Canis lupus familiaris: one gene and its partners. The main gene of each other region encodes a partner of the protein of the gene in region 3 in a complex. Links are inferred from orthologs where the notes say so. Each region holds a gene or a part of one and is shown on either strand. Other genes may lie near its edges.

What was found.
Region 1: the proteins of VAMP2 (region 3) and CPLX1 are in contact, whole or in part, in a crystal structure (PDB 1KIL), measured with the Rattus norvegicus proteins. The link is inferred for Canis lupus familiaris from reciprocal best matches to the Homo sapiens genes VAMP2 and CPLX1. Residues at the interface, in NP_036795.1 of Rattus norvegicus: Arg47, Val50, Asp51, Leu54, Asp57, Gln58, Ser61, Asp64, Asp65, Asp68, Ala69, Gln76; in NP_074055.1 of Rattus norvegicus: Leu41, Arg48, Tyr52, Glu56, Arg59, Glu60, Met62, Arg63, Ile66, Arg67, Tyr70, Gly71, Ile72.
Region 2: the proteins of VAMP2 (region 3) and NAPA are in contact, whole or in part, in a cryo-EM structure (PDB 3J97), measured with the Rattus norvegicus proteins. The link is inferred for Canis lupus familiaris from reciprocal best matches to the Homo sapiens genes VAMP2 and NAPA. Residues at the interface, in NP_036795.1 of Rattus norvegicus: Gln36, Ala37, Asp40, Glu41, Val43, Arg47, Val50, Asp51, Leu54, Glu55, Gln58, Lys59, Arg66; in NP_542152.1 of Rattus norvegicus: Arg116, Thr118, Lys122, Ser157, Ser159, Ser160, Lys163, Leu197, Tyr200, Ser201, Lys203, Arg239, Ser268, Ile269, Arg271.

What each region holds. Positions count from the first base shown.
Region 1 is NC_049224.1:92,242,761-92,246,501, forward strand, and holds the start of CPLX1 (complexin-1), read left to right. Parts: upstream 1-1,015; 5' UTR 1,016-1,130; intron 1,131-2,569; exon of another isoform or gene 2,570-2,709; intron 2,710-3,383; exon of another isoform or gene 3,384-3,523; intron 3,524-3,733; exon of another isoform or gene 3,734-3,741. UniProt on the Homo sapiens protein: Positively regulates a late step in exocytosis of various cytoplasmic vesicles, such as synaptic vesicles and other secretory vesicles.
Region 2 is NC_049222.1:109,234,175-109,237,266, forward strand, and holds part of NAPA (alpha-soluble NSF attachment protein), read left to right. Parts: intron 1-586; coding exon 587-664; intron 665-921; coding exon 922-977; intron 978-1,084; coding exon 1,085-1,169; intron 1,170-2,008; coding exon 2,009-2,113; intron 2,114-3,092. UniProt on the Homo sapiens protein: Required for vesicular transport between the endoplasmic reticulum and the Golgi apparatus. Together with GNA12 promotes CDH5 localization to plasma membrane.
Region 3 is NC_049226.1:33,181,045-33,184,785, forward strand, and holds the start of VAMP2 (vesicle-associated membrane protein 2), read right to left. Parts: upstream 2,407-3,741; 5' UTR 2,363-2,406; coding exon 2,361-2,362; intron 1,859-2,360; coding exon 1,738-1,858; intron 1,284-1,737; coding exon 1,125-1,283; intron 1,026-1,124; coding exon 974-1,025; intron 396-973; coding exon 379-395; 3' UTR 1-378. UniProt on the Homo sapiens protein: Involved in the targeting and/or fusion of transport vesicles to their target membrane. Major SNARE protein of synaptic vesicles which mediates fusion of synaptic vesicles to release neurotransmitters.

The DNA of each region.
Region 1 (3,741 bases), on a different chromosome or scaffold from region 3:
GGCGCAGTGTGGCCCAGCACGCGGGGTGGGGCCGGGTCTGAGCAGCGCAGCACCGCCCGCCCGGTTCCCGGAGCCCCAGGGACGCGCTCCCAGCGGCTGCCCCACGGCCAGCGCGGCCCAGGGAGCGGGGAAGGGGCCGTGGTGTCGGGAGGCACACGAGGCCCTGATGAGTGACACCCGCCGTGCCACTTCGCCTCCACGACTCCTGCCACGACCTCCCAAGGCCTCACGGGGTCCAACAGCAGGGGGACCCCAGCATCCACTTGCATTTGAAGTTTCTGGGCAATCCCCGGTGCACCGAAGTCCGTCCCAGCCCCCCGGGGGTCCGCGCCCCTGGCAGACCCCACCCCAACGCCAAAGGCCGACTGGGGGAACGCCTGTGGGAGCCGGAGCAGGACGTGCCCTGCGGCGCGGGGGCCAGATGGGACTGGCAGGGGCTGGGCCTCCCTGGAGGGAGCTAAGGGGCACCCCGGGGGGCCTCCAGGAGGGGCCTCCGGGAGGCTGAGCTCAGCGGCCTCTGCCATCTGCAGGACTGCGTGGGGGCGCAGAGGGGACTCTGGATGCCCGGGGCCTGCAACCCAGCATCATATGGTCTTCGTGCCTTGGATCGGGGTTCCCGGCCTGGAGGGCCATCCCTGGAGCAGGTGGAGGGCCCAGCTAGGGCGCCCCCCACGCTGCATGGCCCCTCCCTTCCGCTTCCTGGAACCCTTCTCTGTACCCCGACCCAGGACACACCCTGGGACTGTGGCCTCCTCTGGGTGCCTCTGAACTCACAGCCGGGTCTCCCCCAGCTACTCGCTCCTGCCTCCCCGTGGCTGCTGCAGGTCTTCCAGGCCCTGACGGCGACACAACTACCAAGGCAGCATTGCCCCCCCCACCCCCCACCCCGTCCACAGAGGCAGACCCGGCAGGTGGGTGGTGTGCAGCTGTGTCACCTCACGTCCTGGCCACCTGCCCAGAGCTGGCCCTCCCTGGGCTGCCCAGCTGCCCGGCCTCCCTGTCCTGGCGTGGGGCACCAGTCACTCTGATCTGGGACTGTCACTGGCCTTGTCTGTTTCCACTGGGAGAGTCGGAGACCTGGTCCGGGGCCTGGGCACCTGTGAGAACGGATGGGGGTCTCCGTGTGGGCGGTGAGTGCAGGACAGGCAAGGACAGGGCCAGAGAAGGCGACCGCATACAGGGATGGGGGAGTTTGGGGGCCGGGCAGCACCCCTGGACCCCGGGCTCAGGGCTCTGTGTGTGGCGCTCAGCCAGCCCCAGACTGTGGAGTCAGTGGGGCTGTGGGGTCCCCACTGAGCTGGGGGCCTCTGTGTTCCTCCCTCCTATGAGCCTGTGCCGCCCTGACACTGCCCTAGGGTCAGCTGGGTGTTGCCCTGCAGGTGGCTCATGAAGGTCCCGGGGTCCTGGGTCATGGGGCCTGCTCTGGACTCAGCTGAGGTCACCGCTCCGTGTGTTGCACCCCCAGGCCCATTGGTGGCAGGGGTGGAGGGGAGAGCCTGGAGCGGGGAGCAGCGACTTCTCTGCTTCCTGGGCGGACCGCTCCCTCCAGCATCCACACCCAGGTTGGGGGGCACCGGAAGGGCCAAGGCTGAGCAGGCCCTCAAGGCCCTCGCACACCTGGAACAGCCGAGCACAGAACACCTGTCCCCAGACGCGCTTGAGGCGGGGGCTCTAACCGGTGTCTGGAGAAGGGGGCAGTGATGCGATGGGACCCCGGGGGTCAGCCGGGGCAGGCAGCTCAGGGGCTCGGTGCAGCCCTCGGCTCCCCTTTGGGCAGCACCTCCCTCACCCGCTGGCCCAGATCCGCGGGGCAGGACCCGTCAGCAGGACAAGCGAGGATGTGGGGGCCGGAACCGGGGCCTGGGATCCAGGGAGGCTGCAGCCAGGCCAGTGTGTCCTGGGAGGTGCGTCCCGGGGCCGGCGCGGCCGGCGGGGGCGGCTCTGGCCGTTGGCCTCGACCTTGCGGCGACCCTGCGCTCCCCGCAGTGCGGCTCGGCGGCGGGGAAATCCCGGAGGCCGGGGGAGGGGGCGGCGGGGGCGGGGCCGCGGGGCGGAGCGTCCGCAGCGACCTTCAGGCGTCCCTGCCCGCGGGGGCCGCCGCCCTGCGCCACCCGCCGCCCCGCCCCGCCCCGCCCCGCCGGCCCCGCCCCCGCCCCGCCGGCCCCGCCCCCGCCCCGCCGGCCCCGCCCCCGCCCCGCTGGCCCCGCCCCCGCCCGCTGGCCCCGCCCCCAGACCCGCGGAGCCGTCCCCGTCGCGCGCTCCCGCTCTGAGAAATACGGCGGCGGCGGGCGGCTCCCTCCGCGGGGCGAGCGGGGCCCGGAGTCGGGGGCGCCCTCGTCCCGCCCTGGGGCGCCGGGGCCCGGGAGCGGCGCGGGGTCGCGGGCGGCGCGCAGGGGCCTCGCCCGGGTCGGGACCCCGTGGGCGCGGCGGGAGCCCCTTCCCAGCGCGGGGCGGGGCGGGGCGGACGGGCCTCCGGGACGGGCGGGGGCGGCTCCGTGGTCCCGCCCCGCGCCCCGCCGGCCCCGCCCCCGCCGGCCCCGCCCCCGCCGTGACGCTCGGCGCGGGCGGGGGGGGCGGGTGCGCCTCCACGTGACGCGCCCTCCTCGCCGTGCCCTTCAGCCGCCGCCGCATTCCCGGCGCCACATGGACCCCGCCGGCCCGAGCGCGCCCCGCCGCTGACCGCACGCCCGCCGCGCCCGGCCCGGGAAGGTAACCGCGCTCCCCCCGCGCCGCGCACCCCGCGGCCCCCGGCAAGGCCCCCGGCAAGGCCCCCGCTCCCCGCGCCGCGCCCGGCCCGGCCCGGCGGAGCCCCCAGCGCCCCCGGCCCCCGCCCCCGCCCCCGCCCCCGCCCCCGCCCCCGGGTCGCCCCGCCCGCACCCCGGCCCCGGGAGGCCCCCCAGCGCCCCCTACACCCCCCACACCCCCGCCGCCCCGCCCGCACCCCGGCCCCGGGCGGGCGCTGTCCGCGGACTCGGTGCTGAAGCGGCCCCGCGCGGCCCCTTCCTCGCTCCCGCTGCGGTCGGGGCTCCTGCCCTCGCGCCCCTCCCTGCCCCTCGCGCCCCTCCCCTCCCCGCCCCCCCGCGCCCCCGCCCCAGGGCCGCTCGGCACCTCGCCCGCCCGCAAAGCCACGGGGTGCGGCGGCAGCGGGAGCGGGCCCAAGCCTGGGGGACTCCCGCGGCGCCCCGAGCCTGGCTGTGGCTGCGCCCCGCTTCCCCACCCCCTCCGGAGCCAGGGGAGAAGTTTGGAAGAGAATCTGCTTTGCGGCAAGGGCGCCCTGTGCGCCAGCGCCGCGCGGGGAGGCGGCCCCCCCCGACCACCCAGCACCCGCCCCCCGGTCCCCCCCAGGCCGCAGGAGCGCGGGTCTCCTGGGAGGAGAACACCCGAAAGCGCTGGATCTCAGCCCTGGGCTGCCCTGCCCCAGAGGCCCCACAAGCGGGGAGGGGGAGCATTGCAGCCCCTGGTTTAGGCAGCGCCTCCGCACCGGAGTTCAGCGACCTGGACCCTGGAGGCCCCGCAGGCGCAGGTGGGGGCGCCCTGTCCTCCCTCGGGGTCTCCCACCCCAGTCTCCGCCGTGCTGCTGGCAGTGGGCATAGAACTTCCCCTGGGTACAGCCTGGTCTCCTGGGACTCCTGTCAGAAGCCGAGGGGAGCTCCCTGAAGGGGCATCCGGCCAGGCCCCACTCCTCCGTAGTCCTTTCGTCCCTTAGGTGGCCCCCACCCCTGTGGCCCAGGGCCCAGCAAG
Region 2 (3,092 bases), on a different chromosome or scaffold from region 3:
GGACGCCCACCGGGTGGAGGCTGGGGGGCTCAGCCCCTCTGGAAGCTAGAGAGCTAGAGGCTTCCTTGGGGAGAGCCATCGTGTCAATGGGGGAAGCTGGGGGTTGGCCTGTCAGTGGGGCGGCCTCCATGGCCACATTGGGGGCAAGGGGAGGCTTAGGAAGGCTGTCCCCTCCGCAGTAGGGATGCCTGGGCTGTCAGCCTGGTTTCTCCAGAGTGTTTACAGGTGATTCTAGGCTGGTCTTTCCCCCTCTCTGGGCCATCTGTCCCCAGGCCAGGCCCTCTGCCTGGTACCTGGGCCCCATTACCTCTGGCATTGCCTCGTCAACCTGTATCCCTGTGGACAGGAGAAACCCGGAGGCTGAATGTGGAGGGGTGTGACAAGGTCACCCCATCAGGGCTCAGTGAAGCCTCCCATTGGAGGCCTGTGCCCCTCAGTCTCCCGGTACCCTCTTGTACATGCCTCATTTGTGTGACTGAGGTGCAGGAACCCACTGGTTTTGGGGGCCCAGAAGAACAAGGAGGGGCAAGTGGGACGCTGGGAACATTACTCCATCAAAAAGGACCCCTTCCTGTGTCCCACCCAGGGCCGGTTCACGATCGCGGCCAAGCACCACATCTCCATTGCTGAGATCTATGAGACGGAGCTGGTGGACATCGAGAAGGTGAGTGGCAGTCGGTGGCCCTGCCTGGCTGACAGTGGGGGAGGACTGCAGCAGCCTGTCTCCTCAGACTGGGGCTTGTCTGTCTGCTCTCTCCACCTGAGGCATCCTCTGGTGTCTGAGTACCAGAAAGGGGGTGTGGCGCACCGACAGAACTTGGGTAGAGGGCTCCTGCTGTGGCCCAGGCAGGGCCGGCCCTATGGTGGATCAAGGTCACATTGCCACCTCCTCACGCCCTGCCTCTCCCCGTGTCTCCCCAGGCCATCGCCCACTATGAGCAGTCTGCAGACTACTACAAAGGAGAGGAGTCCAACAGGTACCGGCTGTGGGCACCCTTCCCCCTTCCCTATACCCACCCCACCCCACCCCTTAGCCCCCAGGCCAGCCACCACTGACCTCTGTCTCCTCCGCCCACCCTTACAGCTCAGCCAATAAGTGCCTGCTGAAGGTGGCTGGCTATGCCGCACAGCTGGAGCAGTATCAGAAGGCCATTGACATTTATGAGCAGGTGGGGACAGCCAGGGCTCTGGGGGAGGGCCCTGCACCCCATTTGCCCTTTCCTGATGTCCCATCATCTGCACAGTGCTCCCTCCCTCCCCCTGGCCACCTCTCCCCTCCCCTCCATCACCATCCTGGCACTCCCCTTGTCCTCACTGGCTAAACAGTTCACCACCCACAACCCCACAGGGAGTCCCCACCCTCTCCCTGTATGCTTCTCACAGAAAGCTTCCTGGGGGGGCCTGGGGGCCCAGAGGGAGTGGGAAGAGAATCCTTAAGGCCTGGGGTAGCCAGAGGGAGCTGAGGAGCCCACAGGGAGGGGTCAGAAAGCTCGTCCTTCACACACCATGGGAGTGACAGGGAGGGAGCATCACGTGGGGGCGCAGGCTCCCCTGGGCTGTGTGGGGAAGGCTGGGCGGTCCTGGTGGGTTCAGCTTGGCCAAGAGAAAGGCAGGCAGCTGGCCCCGGAGGAGTAGGGGGCGGGTGCCACCTCTCATGTTCCCGCAGCCTGCCGCCCCTCTGCCCACCGACGTGCCAGCCTCCTGTAGGGCCTGACAGCGGGGCCGCCTCCTCCCCACCATCTCAGGGGGTGGGGGGAGCCCACCGACACCGGGCTTTGGCCCTGTGACAGCACTCGCCCCCTGCCATACCCTGGTCTTTGGCTACCCACACACCACCGGCTGACTTCCTGGGGCTGGCCCTTGGCCTCCCTGCCCTTCGGGTCCCGGGTTGATGGGGCTTCATCCGGGACACAGATGAGGCTCCCAGCCGGCCCCCCGGTGCCTCTCAGTGACCCTGGCTCTCTGGCTGCCTGCCCAAGCTTATAGTGCCACCACCGCACCTCCACAGGTGGGGACCAATGCCATGGACAGCCCCCTCCTCAAGTACAGCGCCAAGGACTACTTCTTCAAGGCGGCCCTCTGTCACTTCTGCATTGACATGCTCAATGCCAAGGTGAGCTGGGGCCCAGTCGGACCACCCAGAGCGTCCCCCACCTCCCAGTGACCACCGTGGTGCACCATGTTTATCACTAGATCCCTTAATAGGGGTGAGCCCTCCCTCATGTCCAGCACCTGCCTGTCAGCTGTGGGCAGGAAATGCTTGTTCTCGCCGATGTGCTCCTGTCCCAGGTGTCACCTGCCCAGTGTCTGTAGCTTTTGAGTTTATCCAGCTTCTCACTTACTTGGTGCCAGTGAGGGAGAGCACACTTTGAGTTTTTGCTGCATCCCTCGAGGTCAACACCACTGTCACCTGTTGTACAGATGATGACACTGAGGCTAAGACACAGGGACCCTTATTCAAGGTCACATGGCTGGATTCCAGATCTTTCTGACTCCCAGTGTCATGATTTGAACCATAGTTTGCGTGTCCACACCACCCCTTTTGAGGGCTGTTTGGCAAGACAGGGGTGAGTGGTGGGCGAGGGGGTGGGGAACTGCTGGGGGCAGGGAGCTGGAGTCTTCCAGGGTTCCACATTTCCTGGGGTCTCCAGCCACCGTGCCCTCCGCCACATGGAGTGTCTGAGCCCCACCACCACCCCTGCTCCCACTGGCTGCGTGTAAGAGCTCGCTCAGGCTCGGCCTCAGGCTGGTTCGCATCCCTGCCCCCATATACCCTGTGCCCTGAGCAAATCTTTCAGAATGGGGGTCACTCATTCCACCTTCCCTGGGTCCACATGATGGTTAAATGTAAGAAGTACCCAGCACCAGCCCTGCCCTGTAGGATGTATTCGTAGGAGGCAGCTGTCATTTGTGCCCTGCCCTGGGCACTGGCCTAGGAGCCCCTCCCCACACTTCCTCCACACAAGCTGTCTCTGCAGCCAGGTTTGGCCAAGTACAGCCCCAGGGAAGTACCCTCCAGGCACAGAGCCAGGTGACACTGGGGGAGGGGGAGGGAGAGGGGCGCAGAGCACTGCCTGGGGCCAGGTGTCTCA
Region 3 (3,741 bases):
GCTAAATCCAAGGGAAGGAAAAGAGGAAGAGGGACTATTGCATAGCAGATGCAAATGAAGGGATTCAGGGCTGGTCAGGAAGAGACAGAAGGGGAAGGAGGAAAAGAGAAAAGAGATGGGAACCTCAGGAAGGGGTGTTAAGGACAACCGGAAAAATCTTCTAGTAATAAAACTACAAACAGACCAAATATATATAATATTATATATGTATAAATAACAGCTGGCTATTTACAGGGGTGCACACACACGGGGACACACACACGCGGATCCAGGGGAGGGGGCTGGAAGATATGGCTGAGAGGTGGAGGAGCTGCTGGGGATGGGGTGGGGGGAGATGGGGAGAGGCCCTTCTCTGGGCAGGGCGGGCTCCTCAGGGGTTTAAGAGCTGAAGTAAACTGTAGAGAGGGAAAGAGAAGGAAGGAGAGAGGGGGAGAAAGAAAGAGAGAGAAAGCAGTGTATCAGGCCTGGCCCTGCTCCCAGCCTCCCCACTCCCCAGCCCTCTTGGCCTTAGGTTCTCCATCTGTAAAGCAACAGACTGGGCTGGTAGGTTCCAAGGTCTCTACAACTCCACAGTATGGCCTTGGGGCCACAGACTCCAATCATCTATCTGTGTGTCTGGCCCACAAGCTCTCAAACAGTAGGGTGTTTGGCTTCCTAGCCATGTCTCAAGCCCCTGGGCCTCACCTGCTCTCCCACTTCCCAATTCCAGGGTTCCCAGACTAGGTTTAGGCCCAAAAAGGATCCTCAAGGGAGCAGTGCTGATCCACCAGCTTTCCTGTTTCCAAAAATCTTAACAAGAATTGCCTAGAACCAAACAAAGTGCAGCAAGGTTTGGGGCTCTAGATGAATCAGAGCTGCACTGCCAGCTATATATACTTTCTGCTGAATAGTACAAACTAGGTTAATGACCTTCAAGACCTAGAAGGGGAAACCCCTCCAGAGAAAGGGCCCTAGCCAATCCTGCCCTACTCACCGATGATGATGATGAGGATGATGGCGCAAATCACTCCCAAGATGATCATCATCTGGGGGCGAGAAAGGGGGGAGGGTCAGTGATACAGACCGTGACACCCTCGTCACCCACCAGTTCTCATGCCAGCCCTCTTGCGTGCCTCCACCCTTACCTTGAGGTTTTTCCACCAGTATTTGCGCTTGAGCTTGGCTGCGCTTGTTTCAAACTGGGAGGCCCCTGCCTGGAGTGCATCTGCACGGTCGTCCAGCTCGGACAGCTTCTGGTCCCGCTCCAGGACCTTGTCCACATTCACCCTCATGATGTCCACCACCTGAAGGAGGGGCCCACGAGGCAGGGGGTGTGCCAAGGCCGCCTCAGTGAGGGCACAGTCCTCAACCATGCACCCACAGAGTGAACATGCACCCCGATGCTGCCCGGCTAACATGCCAAGGACACACAGAGAACATCCCTAGCACACCTGGGGACATGTAAGGAGCACACATCAGGGGCATGCTGACAGCCAGACAAGACATCTCAGATGTCAGAGCAGCACCCTCTAAGCAGCCTGTGCGTCGCCAGACCACACCTGCCGGGACCCAAACTCCCCAGCCCATCAAGGTTGACTAACACCCCAGGCCGTTCCAAATGCAAGCTGAGCTGGGCAGGGGCAGGGTACGTCTTTGTCCCTAAACTCATAAACTCAGCATCTCCAACACAGGATGCCCCCTCCCCACCGGTGCCAACCGTCGGGGTCCTTCCCGCCGCCTGACACCCCCCACACTCACCTCATCCACCTGGGCCTGGGTCTGCTGCAGTCTCCTGTTACTGGTGAGGTTTGGAGGGGGCGCCGGGGGGCCTCCCTCCCCAGCCGGGGCGGCAGGGGGGGCGGTGGCAGCGGTAGCCGACCTGAGGGGCAGGGACGGAGTAAGACCCGAGGCCTGGAGCCGCCGGCCCCGCGGCCAGGGCTCCGCCCATCCTCCTGTCCATCCATCCGTCCCTCCCTTTCTCCTTCCCCGGAGGAAGGCCACCGAGGGGAGCCCTGCGCGGCGTCCGGCCCCACGGCCGCCCAGCTGCGTGACCTTGAGTCAGGCCCCCTCCCCCCTCCTGAGGGGGCCTCAGTTTCCCCGTCCGTCAAATGAGGGCGACCTCCAAGACAAGGTGCGGGGTCGACCCGCAATGACGGGCGGCGGCGAGGCCAGGGGCGGCGGACGGCGGGCCCGCTCCCTCCCGCGGCCTCCGCCCGCGCGGCCAGCCCGGGACGCGGCGCTCTCTGCAGCCGCCCGCGCGCAGTCACGGGCGCCGGCCTGGCCTCGGGGCGCCGGCCGAACCCCGGGCGCTCCCCGGACCGGCTCCCAAGGGCGGCGGCCGGCGCGGGCAGGCCCGGTGCGGGCGCGGGCGGCCGACTCACATGGCGGGGGCGGCAGGCGGACGGCTCGGCGGCGGCGGCGGCGGCGGCGGCGGCGGCGGCGGCGGCTCGCGCTGGCTCCGACTGGCGCTGGCTGCCCGGGACGGGAAGATGGCGGCCGCACGTCACCCACATCCGGGCACTGCGGGCGGGGGCGGGGCGCGGCGGGCGCGGGGCGGTGGGGGCGGGGCGCGGCGGGGCGGCCCCCCACCTGCCGCAGCTTGGGGAGCCGCGATCCCCGCGCATCCGGCCGCAGCCCTCACGGCAGCCCCACGCCTCTCCGTCCCCCGCCTCCGGCCTCGAGGGTGCCCGTGAGCCCCAGGCTACGTCCGCCCGCACCCGCGAAACCCGCAAACCAGTGCGCACCCCCCACACACCGCGAGGCCTCGGCCTGCGCGCTGGCGACCGGCTCCAGCGTTTGCAGCCGGCTGGGTGGGCCGTGGGAAGGGGCAGGTGCAGGTTGCCGGGCCCCCTGCTGCTGCGGTGGGCCAGCGGCGGCGGGAGCTGGGGCCCTCCCCCCCCCTCCGCCAGCCCTGCAGGTGGACAGCTCAGGGGAGGCCTGGCGGGCTTGGGGCCCCGGCCGCTGAGTTCGGCTGTGAAGGAAAGCAGAAGAGGCAGGCCGCCCCCGCCCCCACCAAGCCACTGCAGGGTGTGTGAGCTCCTCACAACCCAACCGGGGCGCAGACCAGAGGTGCTTGACCGAGGTAGGGCAAGGTTAAGGCCGACGGAGGAGGGCACTAGGCTGTCCCATGCGGCTGCTTCACGTGGTGGCCGTGGTGGCTGCGGACCCGGCCAAAACCCAGCTCTGCCCCAGAGTTGGGGCCGCTCCCAGGTAACAGAGGAGAGCTCAGCTTCTGATCCCAGACTGCGACAGAAAGGGGGTTTTGGGGGTTTTCTCTTCGTTCTGTTTTTCTTCTTCAAGGGGAAAGACAGTAGGCAAGGGCTGCCTACCCCCTGCAGTAGCCAGGTACAAGGTACTACTTTACATGTGCATTAGCCTCATAGGTGTGACCTTGGCCAGTTCCTGTCCTATCTCTGGACTCCACGTGTATTACAACTGTAGGCACTAACACATGTTCAGTGGTTTGATCCGGAACCTGGTAGGAAAGGATTATCCACTCCCCCTCCATCCCTGACTGGTCTCTCTTTAGATCTTTTAAACAGCAGCTCCACACACTCAGTCCTCTCATCCCCAGCAGGCCTGGCTCTTCAGGGACAAGATGGGACCAGATGAGCCACCTATCTTGTGAGGTCGGTCAAAGCAAGCCTCAAAAATGAAGAAGGAGGTGTCTTAGTGGAGGCATCATGGCTCTGGGGCAGGGGTGCTCCTTCCATACCTGGAAGGGGAGCAGAGGGAGGCTGGTGGTCTTGGCCTCTTGAAAAC